Oryza sativa Japonica Group: one gene and its partners. The protein of the gene in region 3 interacts with the protein of the main gene of each other region in a pairwise test. Links are inferred from orthologs where the notes say so. Each region holds a gene or a part of one and is shown on either strand. Other genes may lie near its edges. The genes, in order: E3 ubiquitin-protein ligase BRE1-like 1, protein rough sheath 2 homolog and probable protein phosphatase 2C 37.

Region 1 (4,135 bases), about 23 Mb from region 3:
ATGGTACTAACAAGCATTGTGCATTTGAACCAACTTTATCCCCAATACGACAATCACATACATCATGTGTGTGCATAGAGGACATGTTTTTTTTTTCATACCATCATGTTTCATCCCCTGTTCCCCACGTGGTATGCTTCTCTAGGACTACTTTTCCTCGACCAAATGGTTCATATATATGTATCTTTGTATTTCTGAACATCTTAGTTTTCATCTTGCCTCTCGACAGTTATCATGCTTTAACCTTCCGTTACCAACCTACCACATTAATGTTATGATCGACCGATATTATCACATGTAGAAACCAGAGTATTGCTCATGTCCGTCATGTGGTAAACACTGAAACCTTAACTAATAGTATTAAGCAATAGATTATTGGCTAACCTCTCTATATTCATGACCAATTCAACTATGGTAAAACAAAATTTAAAATGAAAAAGACCAAGACTACTTCAAAATAACCATATTAACCTTTTCTTAAAAACAAGCTATCTGAGTTAATTAACAAGAGTTGCAACCACATGAACCAACAACTTACTATTGCTTAGTAATATGACCTTGTATGGCACTGATAATCAAAGCTTTACATTGAAAATTGTAATACACTGGATTCACACCGTATAAAAAGAACTTCATATGAAAGACTTATCATGAAGATCAAATAATGCATGTCCTAGGTTCAGGTGCCAGTACTTGCTTATACGCTACTCCCTCCGTCCTATAATATAAGAGATTTTGACTTTTTACTTGCAGTGTTTAACCATTCGTCTTATTCAAAAATTTTTGGAATTTATTTATTTTGTTTATGACTTACTTTATTATCCAAAGTACTTTAAGCACAACTTTTCGTTTTCTATATTTGCACAAATTTTTTGAATAAGACGAGTGGTCAAACAGTACAAGCAAAAAAGTCAAAATCCCTTATATTATGGGACGGAGGGAGTACCTGTTAATTTTAAAAACAATATTTTATCATATATATAACAAAATAAATAATTTGTGACAGTAATCTATATTGAACATTGTCGTTCTCACCATTCTGGGCTGGCTGTTAAAAGGCCGACTGACGGAGGTCCAACCCTATGCCCGCTGGTGTCCACTGTCCACAGAAGCACGGAGTCCGTGCAGCGGGGCGAACAGCCGCCTCCGCCCGAGATAACTCACTCCGCCTCCCCACACGCATATTCTCTCTCCTCTCTGCGCCGTTCGCCTAGCTCTCCTCCCCCCCTTCTCTTCTTTCTCCTCACGGTTCTCACCTCCTCCCCCCTTGACAGTGCACACGCCAAAACCACCGCTAACTCCCACCTCTCGCCCACACCTCCCTGATCCGATCCCTTCCCCCCTACAACCCTAGCCGAATTCCGCCTCCGCCGCGATCCGCTCGTCCCGCGCTCCAATTCCGTCCTTCATCCGCTCTTTGTTTTTTTTGCGATTGTTTTTTTGGGTGCGATTGGTTTGGTGATCCGCGTGTTAGGGTTCGGGAGTCGCCGGGGCGGGGGTTTGGGTGGTGGATTGGACCGGTAGGTGGCCGGGAGGGTTGGCCCTTGTGGTTTCGGGGTTTGGTTTCACCCGCCGCATGTGGAGAATCGGAGGACCTGGGAGAGGTTAGGGTTAGGGTTATGGGGAGCACGGGGGAGCCCGACCGGAAGCGGCGGCTCAGTAGCTCCGTCGCGCCCGGCGGCGGGGCCCCTGTTTCTCCTGCCAAGCGGCTGGCGGTTGCACCCACCTCCGAAGATAAGAAGGTATTTGCGCATCTCGAGCCAGCTCTGTATCGTTTTGAGTTAATGTTTATGGTGGTACCGTGTTAGTACTGTTTGTTTGAGTTCATGTTTATGGTGGTAGTACTGTTTGATATGTTGTTGTATGATAGCTAGATGGTGGCATGGTGACTGATTTTTAGCTGTTTTGTTATGTCATGGAATCCATACATCCGCTAAAAGATCTATTGTGGACTGTTTGAGTATAGATCGATGAGTTTATTCTTGACAAGTGTTTGATGCTTTTGTACTTATGCTGAGCTCTATGCAATTGCAAGTCTTGCTGTGTTGTGGTCGTTAGTGGAAGAAGCCCTATGTATATTGCCTCCTGTCAGAGTGAAAACAAAAATACTAGTAGGAATGAGCTATGCATTATCCGTTTCGGATTCTGCAACTATTGCACGATTGTTTATGGTTCTTTAGAGCAATTGATGTATTCTATAATTATTACTCGGTGATAGATGGGAGGCTGACTTGTGAAATTGTTACTTGACTTACATTGCATTCTTGTTTTCCCGTGTTCATGATAGCAGAAAGTGGCAATTCCTTGGTAAACCTTCGTATTTTGAGTTTTTTAAATGATCTTAGTTTTTTGTGGCTACATTTATGGATATTGAAATGGTTAACTTTGGACTAGTAGCGGATCTAGAAGTTCTCTTGAGCTTGGGCAAACCTAAACGAATGGGCTAGATTATAGGATTAATAAGTATTATTTTTTTGTCAAAAGTAGATAATGGCTGTTGGAGAACTGTGTAGCTTTGGCCTTAGGCTGATGGCAGCAAACATTGGTGTGAGGCTGTGTCTTGACTCCTTTGTTGCTTGCATAGCTGATTTAGCCTCTATTAAAAGAAGCAGATTAAGCAGGGGCATTAAGTGGTAATCCACTGGCTAATACGGTGGAGCCCGGGCACCTGCCCGTGGTGGCCGGGCCCTAGCTCCGCTGCTGCTTTGGACAAATTTAATTTTCTTGCTGGCAATGATACCATAATGTGCCAATGCTTATTTACAATCATAGCGCCTTTTATTTTTCCATAGCATATGCTATTGTTTTTTGATATAGATAAAGGTCTAAATTGGGTCGTTAAATTAATATTAATGAAATTTGTCACCAAGTTACTACTGGTGACAACTGACAATTAATCGCTGTTACTACCGGTGACAACTGGCAATTATTCGCCTACTTTGTTATTTAATTTTACAAGAGGGAAATATGGGAAAAGATTGGTTAAATTTTGGGAGGGATAGGTCAAGGGTATAATGGCATGTTGGATGATACCTTTTATGCGTTTACTCATGTGTTACCGTATTTGGTCCAATATGGAATATCCATGCACAAAACCTTTTTTTTCTTTTGTCCTGTAGCATGAAATGAACCTATTTATCATGTTGGTGATATCATCAGTACGGCTCCTTTTGTGTTTATGTTCTGTTTTGGCTCTGCTCTTCTTCAAGTTGTAAATAAAAGATACTTGAATGTTGGTTCAGCTTTTCTTTTTATGCTTGAATTAGTGATTTCTCTTTGTTGCCAAACACATATCTTTAGTTTTGATTTCGCACACTGCCTACTTATATTGTCTTGTTTGGCAGCTCGATTTTACTGTACTCAAATACAAAAACCAAAAGCTCTCAGAGCAACTAGAAGCCCACAAGTTTGAGTATCGTGCTCTTGAAAATAAATTCGCTGGGCTAAAAGAGAAGCAGAGGACTCATAATGAGACACTTTCCTTGGTCAACAGTTCTTGGGAACAAGTAAGCTATTATTTTGTGCATGTTTTACCAAAAAAGACAGACTTTATAATGTTTCTTCCTGAATCCCTTTATTTGATCAGCTTGTGGCAGACCTGAAGTCAAGATCTTTTTGCAAAAGTGGATCTCCTAATTCCAGCCCTGGTTCAGGGCACAACAATGTACAAAAGGGTATGACTTCCTTTATTTTCTAAAAACATCCCAACTACATTTTCCTAGACAGGTTTTGAAATATGGGAGTGCCATCTACTCCCTCTGTCTCCTCATATAAGGGATTTTGACATTTTGCTTGCACTGTTTGACCATTCGTCTTATTCAAACATTTTTGGAATTAGTTTTTTTGTGACTTATTATCCAAAGTACTTTAAGCACAACTTTTCGTTTTTTATATTTGCACAAATTTTTTTGAATAAGATGAGTGGTCAAACAGTGCAAGCAAAATGTCAAAATCCCTTATATTATGGGACGGAGGGAGTATTTAAGTAGCAAATGATTATCACTATGGAAAAACCTTTTGATCTGGTCATCTTTGTGGTCCATTGCTCTTGTGGCAATTGTTTAAGATAATGCTGCTTGGTTGCAAAAACTGCACTTTTCAGATTATGTAATAAGTTATAAGTTATTTATGTTAA
Region 2 (4,194 bases), on a different chromosome or scaffold from region 3:
CGTAAAGATTTTTAGGATTCAAATTTTATATTAAATGTAAGCATTCCAAAACTGATTCTCATGATTACAATCATTTTAATGATTCCAAAGCCAATCAGATGATTGAAAGTGAAATTCAAACAATTCAAAATTTAAAAATTGATAACCGAAGTGATTAAAAGGGAATATTTGGACCTAAATTTAGTATTTGCTAAACAACCTATAAATCGTTGTATTTTAGAATGGAGGGAGGAGTTTTCATGTGAAATGTAGTATTATTTTAATACAATCAATTAAGTCTCAGTCTTCATTGACTACTATGAATGAATCAGACAAAAATAATTTATGTTCAAACTTCTATATTAGTGTTATTAGCGATTTTGAAAGACGATACTAGAAAATAGATTAAGAAGAAAAAAAATCTTAAAATCAACTTAAAATATAACCTTTTAAATTCAAATTTTGGCTAAGCTCAGTAAGTTAACATGTAGACGATGAGAGGATATAAAATTTTACATGGTTTTACTACTAAGCCGTTGGATTGCGATCGGACGACGACTCTCATGCATCTGGCTTGTTGAGCAGTGGAGAATTGGAGATTTTTTTACAAACATTGTACTGTGATCTGGGCTGGGTGGCAGCCAGATTGGTGGGAGTAGATTCCATTTCACCATGCATCTTCTCAAGAAAATTCCTAGCACAGTTTTGTGCTACAGCAGCAGCAAAAAAAATAATGCAGATGATGGCTCATCCATGCACGGCCATTGTACCAGCACAGTGTAAAGAAATAAAAATTGGCAACAAGAGGCAACCATCTCATCTCATCTGGACTCACCTAGAGTATGGATCATCTCCCCTGTCCATGCATGCATGCATGCTGCAAGAAAATGCATATACAAACATTCAGAAAATTATATTTGATATTGATATTCATTTGCCTCCCATCTCCCTCTCCAACAGTGCCATCTCTGATCACACCCACACTGTGAAGTGAAGTCAGTCATCTCCAAGAGAAGCAAAAGCAAATGCAAAGCCTTCACCTCTCACCTCACATCCATTGCTGCATGGACCATGGCACCAATGCACCATGCACATCTCCAGCATCTCCATCTCCATGAGTCCATGTGCATTCAAGCTTAGCAGCAGCAGCAGCAGCAGCTGTATGTGTGGGTGTGGCCATGGTGCTTTCTTTGCATTGCATTGCATTGCAATGCATGCACTGTTTGCTGCAGCTGCTGCAGCTGCAGTGACTAGTCTAGCTCTCTCCATCTCTTTCTTTCTCTGCTTCTTTGTTTCTTTCTCTGTCTATAAATACAGAGGCCTCTCCTTTCCACCCAGCCCTTTTCCTCTCCTCCTCCCGTCTTTTCCACCACCACCACCCTCGCGTGCCCTAATTTCTCGCTGCTCCTTGTCCCCCACCTCCTTTACTTGAGCTTGCTCACCACTGCCTCCATATACAGAGAGTCTTCTCTGTATTTCTCTCTCTCAGTGGGAGGCTCACAAGAATCTTTCAGCTCACATCTCACTGTCCTTGCCTTTCTCTAGCTAGGTACTACTACTGCTAGTACTAACCACTGCTCGTGTTCTTGGGACTTCTTCTTCTTCTTGTTCTTGTTCTTAAAATCATTTGGGGTTTTGAGCTCCAGGGAGGTCCAAGAACAGAGCAGCAGGATGGTGCAGTGGCGTTTCTGTAAGTGAATCCTACTACCTTCAGTTTCTTGAGCAGTTTCAGTAGTGTAGAGCTTATGATGTAATGCAGCAGGTGCCATGTGTGTTGTGCTCTGAAGAAAGCTGTTCTGTGGGTTGCTTTGTTACTATGTTTTTTGTGTTCATGTTTCTTGGTCTGTATGGCTCTACATGTTGGGTGTTTTTGGTCAGATTTTGTCTCTCCTATATCTGCTAGTCTGTTTTTCTGCAATAGATCTTTCTGTTAGATTTCTTGTCTTGTAGGGAAGTTGGTAGAGGATGTGCTCTCAGGGTAAGGATTGATTGTCAGTTTGCTTAGTTCTTTCTTTTGATTCACCAGTTGGGATTTAGTTAGTATGGATAGATAATCTGCTAGGTTGGGGTTAAATGTTGCCTCTGATATGGTGAGTGAAACTACTTTTGTGGATTTTGTATGGATTGTGGTTAGTGGGTGAAATTTGTGTTCTTGATTGAAACATCTACCTAGTTCTTGAATCTTCAATGGCAGCATTATTGTACTGATTGTTGTATGGTCCAATAATGTATTTAGGGGGATTCTACTTACTGCTAGTCTGCTCCCAGATATGAAGATTTGATTCTGTTTTTTTTCCTCTTCAAATGTTTCTTTTTTATAATTAGTTGAAATATGCTATTATCCAGAGTACTTTTGGGGGTTTATGGATTGTTTCCTCCTACTCAAGAGAGGTAAACAAAGTAACTTCTTCAGTACAGATTTTCCAGAGATGCCATTTCTTCTTCATCATTCCTCCTTTGATTACTTCATGATTGTTTTTACCTGCTTCTCAGCCCATATCCCTTGGAACATTCACTTCCATGAAAATTACCACCTAAGGAAAAAAAAACAAAATGGTCAGTAATTGAGAACTTGCTATATTAGTTACCTGAAAGATAGTAACACCCAGCAACACAGATCCATGTTTCAGTATACTTGTGGTATAGGAGTAGTATAGTATAGTATACCCCCACACTGCTTTCAATTTGTCAGTACTACTACTGTGGTAGTAACATCTAGCCAAGGAGGATACAACGGTCCAATCCAATCAGATCAACAAACAACAACACATTGATTTCTTTGGCCTACTACCATGCTTTCAACATTCTTTCATTTTGTTTCTTCTTGGTTAATGCTTGAATTTCTAGATGAAATGGATGGCACAAGACCACTCTTGAGGAATCCTAAGTTTCCTATAAATCCCTTTTATAAATACTTTTTTTTAGAAACAACTGTTTTGTCTCAACTTAAAAAAAATAAAATCAAAAGCATATTGCTTGCAAGAATTCAGAAGATGTTCTAGGTGAAATTCTTGCAGATTTTATTGCATTTCTCTCTCATGAGTCCTTCATTACAATTAGGTGAAAACTAAAGAGGTGCCATATTAAATAGAGTGAATTTATTGCAAATTAAATTGGTTTTCGATTTGTCAAATTTGCTCGAGACACCTAACCAACTAACCCTTATTGTCCAAATCAAAATTCCATCTCGTGCGCAATTAGCCCTGGCCATAGCTTTAATTCGTCATTAGTAGGCAACCAGTGGGGGCTCCAAATGGTCCTAGAATCATCACTTTTACTTTGGATTTGCTTCTGCCTCTTGCACATTCCCTTATTTTGTAGCCTTCTTGAGGGTATTAGGTAGGTGTTTTGGCAGATTATCTCCCCATTGATCAGCTCCCAATTAATGCCAGATGGTGACACTGCTAAAGATGGAAGACAAGCTTGCGAGAAAACAGTGGTAGCCTTATTATTTCCTCTCACAAGAATTGTGCCCACAACTTGTCCTGACATCTGTGAATTTGTCTGTATGTTGATAGTAATAGCTGGATGAATCATGGGTGCTTAACAATGCTCTTACTTACCAATAGTGTTTATGGTCGGTTGGCCCTTGCAACCTCCAAAGAACCAATTGGAGCAATTCAGCCTTCTCTTTTTTTTTTCTCTCTCTGTCATTTTCTGTGCTTTAACTGTTATCTGAACGAGTAGTTAACTGTATAATGTCAAAGGAATAATCTTGCACAAATTTAGTACCAATGTTGTTGTAGAGGAGCATGTATAAGCTTTATCTGTGGTACTGTGGTAGTAAGTAGGATGTGTAGAGTGTGCAGGTCACAGTTATGGATCACTGAACAAATAAATTAACTCCCCTGCTTTTGACACCCCAAACTGAAACATATAAATGCTGCAATGAATAAAGCAACTAACTTTACACTATCACAGCCCTAGCTTCTGTTCTGGCCAGTTTCTTGCTCCCTCCAGACGGTAATCACTTTACTCTGTATCAACATTTGCATTTAAACTGGTTGTGGTTGACTGGTTGTTTGACTAGATTAGCACAACTAGAAACCATGCCAAGCCATTCCTGATCTGCAGTGTGTCGTTTCTTTCTTCTGAACTGAAGATTTGATCTTTTCTGTTTGCAAAGTTCATGCTTACACACTTACTACACTTGAAATCTGTAAGATAAGTGCTCTACATTGAACTAAAAATACGTAAATTTTTTGTACATGATCT
Region 3 (3,836 bases):
TCTGTCGCTCACGTGTTCGTCTTGGCGTGGGTTTTGATTTCACGCGGAAACATGTACTCAATGAGTAAATGTTTCGAAAAGAAGTCTGCTAAGAGCAGGTACAATAGTAGGCTATAAGCCAGCTGCAAACATATTTTAAGAAGATAAATAAGGAGAGAGAAGAGTAGCAGATTACAGATTTGTAGCCAGCTATAGCACAGACTCCAATACGCAGTGTGTGTATGACTGGTGGGACCAGGTATTAATAGTGTATTATGTAACTATTGTATAAATGAGCTATTAGATTGGCTATAGATAAATTGGAGCTAGTAGTTGGCTATAATATTAAACTTGCTCTAATAGAAGTAGTCAGGAGTTGTACTTGTGCACATAATCTGGAGTTAGGGAGACCAATTATATATGGTTGGTAATGCCTTGCCATTCTAGTTTAGTTGCTCTGGATATCATTTGTTTATTGTTCACTAGCCTTTTGGTTTTGCTTGATCATTGGGCTAAACCACTGAAGCTCCATTGGCAAGTCAGTTTCTAAGACGTGTCCAGTTGTTCTTAAACTATCATGTTGCCCCCAACGAGGTTGGGGGAAATGGAAATAAACAAAAGATCGGAAGGTAATACTATATCACAAAGGGTGGTTACATTTGTCGCTCTGCATGTTCTTCCAAACATAAAAAGGAACCTATTGCTCTGCATCTTTCCACCCCTTGACCAATCAAAAACTGCCTGGTGACAGAATCTAGGTCAAATAAGGATGTTCCTGCTTTAAGACTATGAGGAAAATAAGTATTATATGCAAGTTTCGTGGCAGGAAGGTTATGAATATGACAATAGCATGGTACCCTATGAATTTAAGGTTTTTTACACTTTAGTTACATAGGATATTTGCATCTGTCCGAAGGTACCAACTTTTTTTTGTGGTTTATACAATTAACTATGACAAAGATAAAAGGTACAATTCCAGCTTCTAATGAGCTTCTAGTAGATGTTACTTGGCAGTTTGTTGAGTTGATACACAGTCACATCACTGACCCCACCGGTTTGTGCCATATTATCTGGCTTATCAAGAAAATGACCATATGTACCCAGTCCATCTCACTTTAGCCATTAGGCCTAACATTTGGCAGTGCCTGTATGGTGTTATTTCATTTAGTTATATTATCAGATGTCTGAAAGAAGAAAGATGGATTAGACATAAAAGACACGCGTTCATCTCTGATTCACCATCTGTGAAAGTGCTAGCTCTTTTTATTAGTTGCTCTGATTGTAACCTAACCAACTGACTAAAAGAAATGATCTTCATAAATAAGTGGGACATATATGTTTGATTAGGCTAGTGACGTTGTCCTCTGTTGTATCCTAAGTTCCCAATAGTGATGTTACACCTTTTTTAATCTAGCTTTCAGGATTGACAAAGGAAATACCTTGGGTAGTAATAATTTGGACCTTTTGACAATAGAGAAAAGCTCAACTTGCACCATTGTAGAACCTTGTCAGTCTATTTGATTTCAAAACTATATAATTGTACTTCATATCGAATGTTTATAATCAAATAACATAGAAAATATTGTCTCTGCAGATCTGATGTTGTTTCTGATAAACCACTTTTTCTTAAAATAGTTTTTATCTGTCTATCTCACAAGCTCTGTTTTAAACTAGAGTTCAGTGGTAGTATGTTTATATATCAGGTTTCAAGTTGGAGAGGGTTGTATTATATTACAGACACACCATTTTGGTTGTAGGAATTGCCCATTTCACATATAGGAAGCACCACACTACTTATCACTTATTAAGTATTTTGAATCAATGAAGATTCCTACTTTATATAGTAGATTAATTAATATAATGATAATATAATTTATGTGCAGCAGAAGGAAGCAGTTTACTTGGCCCAAAAGGTCAAAGGAAATGTGTTCTTTCAAAATACTTATCTGTCCAACTTGTCATTATAGGCTTATACATGATACATCACCTTCCCTTGATATAGGCAGTACAAATTTCCCTACATTCTAGTAGTTACTGAGTGGTTATAGAATATTTTATGTTTCTGCATCTCACGTTTGCCCCTGTTTTGATGCTTAAGCTTTTCATTGCAAAAGGGCTGGTCCCTGTGTATCCTTTCATTGTAGCTTCAGAGGTATCTGTGGCTTAAATATTTGGATGGAGTTCTTGAAATGCCGTAGCCATAATAATGTTCTCGATTTCACTAGTTCGTTAGGTTTATATGTGTCATCTTCTCCTTTTTCTTTCATGAAACTAAATAGGATTCCTGAAAATACTATGTAATACCATGAATCTTCTCATTTACTAGAATTCAATGCAATACCATTTGAAATGTTTGAAAATTTATTTCCTTTCCTGTATATTACTTACTTTATGAGATTCTTTATGTAAACTAATTCAGTATCATGTATGTTACTCTCAATTATTCTAAATATGTTCACGCAGGAGACAAGTACCTAAAGCCTGAAGTCATATGTGAGCCAGACATCACCATAACCGTGAGGACCGTCGACGACGAATGCCTCATCCTCGCGAGCGATGGGATGTGGGATGTGATCTCAAACGAGACGGCCAGCGATGTCGCTCGACAATGCCTTGAAGACGGGAGCCCCACCAGTGGGCGTCGCGCAGCTAGGAGCGGCGAAGCCGCTTCCAGCAGCGCCGGTGCTCCGGCAGCAGCGGTAGGCCAAGAATCTGAGCCTCGCTGCTACCGTGCCGCTGCTCTCCTTGCGCGCCTCGCCCTCGGCAGGGAGAGTTCAGATAACATTAGTGTCGTTGTGATTGATCTGAAAGGAAGAGGGTAGGCAGAGATCATGGAGGTAGCCTGGTCTCAGATCACAATAAGAATTTATCTGGCTGCTTCATTTTCCTTCATGTTTTAGCCTTTGTTATGTTCAACCCTCACAAAAGCAAGCTCTAGTAGTGGTTGTTAGAACAAAGGGAGGAGTTGTTTCTGAAAGTTGGGGTGGTCTGAACTCTGAAATTTTCTTTGTTCTTTCTTTTTTCTTCTTTCAATTTTACTAGCTTCCTAGTAGTTCTTTGTCGGTTATGTTCACTGGGAAGAGTCCAGTGGAAAAAAAAAAAGGAGAATGGATGCAAACATTGCCATCCATAGAGATAAAAGGAGATAACAAAAAAGAAATTGCAAATATGCAAAATGTCATGAGACATTATGTACATTATTTATTATTATATTCCATTTTCTCATGGAGCCCTGTGGCTTGCAGTTACTGTTTTTTTGTGGATGCCTGTTAATCTATCTATGATCCAATCAAATGTAGTTACTGACAAATCAAAGTGGGACATGTATAGTCTCATTTCGCTTATGTTTATAAGCCATCTTATTAAAACTTAATTTTCAAGGTGTTTTTGTGATTTTTTTAATTATAGTCTTTTTTACAGTATGTGCTTATAAATCAGTAAGGATAAGTTATACCCATAAATTAATTTTTTTAGAATTTAAACTATTTTACTTTAGTTATTAGTAATTAATAAACGGTTCCATAAAGCATATATGCATAAGCGACAAGGAGAGTGACAAAAGACCACCTCCCCTTTTCAAACTCTTTGGTCTTTTAGGCAACTAGACGTACGTACAAAACCTAAACACGCCACATTCACATCACAATACTTGCGTGCTCGTATTACCTGTGCATGCTATAAGCATGCTTGAAATGTTTGGTGATGCCAAATATTCCTAGAGTAGGGGTAAGTGCAAACTCCCTGAATATGCAAGAATATACTTACAAAAATACGATGGTCCTAAGAACAGATGATAGTCCTTCTCTCCAACATTGGCTCTGTTCGGCGGCAGGTATGGCTCTGTTCGGCAGGTATGG

The links.
Region 1: the proteins of probable protein phosphatase 2C 37 (region 3) and E3 ubiquitin-protein ligase BRE1-like 1 interact in binary tests that used the Arabidopsis thaliana proteins (3 or more experiments, as listed by UniProt). The link is inferred for Oryza sativa Japonica Group from reciprocal best matches to the Arabidopsis thaliana genes AHG1 and HUB1.
Region 2: the proteins of probable protein phosphatase 2C 37 (region 3) and protein rough sheath 2 homolog interact in binary tests that used the Arabidopsis thaliana proteins (3 or more experiments, as listed by UniProt). The link is inferred for Oryza sativa Japonica Group from reciprocal best matches to the Arabidopsis thaliana genes AHG1 and AS1.

Annotation. Positions count from the first base shown.
Region 1 is NC_089038.1:28,062,197-28,066,331, reverse strand, and holds the start of E3 ubiquitin-protein ligase BRE1-like 1, read left to right. Parts: upstream 1-1,247; 5' UTR 1,248-1,619; coding exon 1,620-1,742; intron 1,743-3,344; coding exon 3,345-3,506; intron 3,507-3,586; coding exon 3,587-3,674; intron 3,675-4,135. UniProt on the Arabidopsis thaliana protein: E3 ubiquitin-protein ligase that monoubiquitinates H2B to form H2BK143ub1. H2BK143ub1 gives a specific tag for epigenetic transcriptional activation and is also prerequisite for H3K4me and maybe H3K79me.
Region 2 is NC_089046.1:24,247,825-24,252,018, reverse strand, and holds the start of protein rough sheath 2 homolog, read left to right. Parts: upstream 1-1,319; 5' UTR 1,320-1,669; intron 1,670-4,194.
Region 3 is NC_089038.1:4,735,916-4,739,751, reverse strand, and holds the end of probable protein phosphatase 2C 37, read left to right. Parts: intron 1-2,442; coding exon 2,443-2,801; 3' UTR 2,802-3,227; downstream 3,228-3,836. UniProt on the Arabidopsis thaliana protein: Negative regulator of abscisic acid (ABA) responses during seed germination.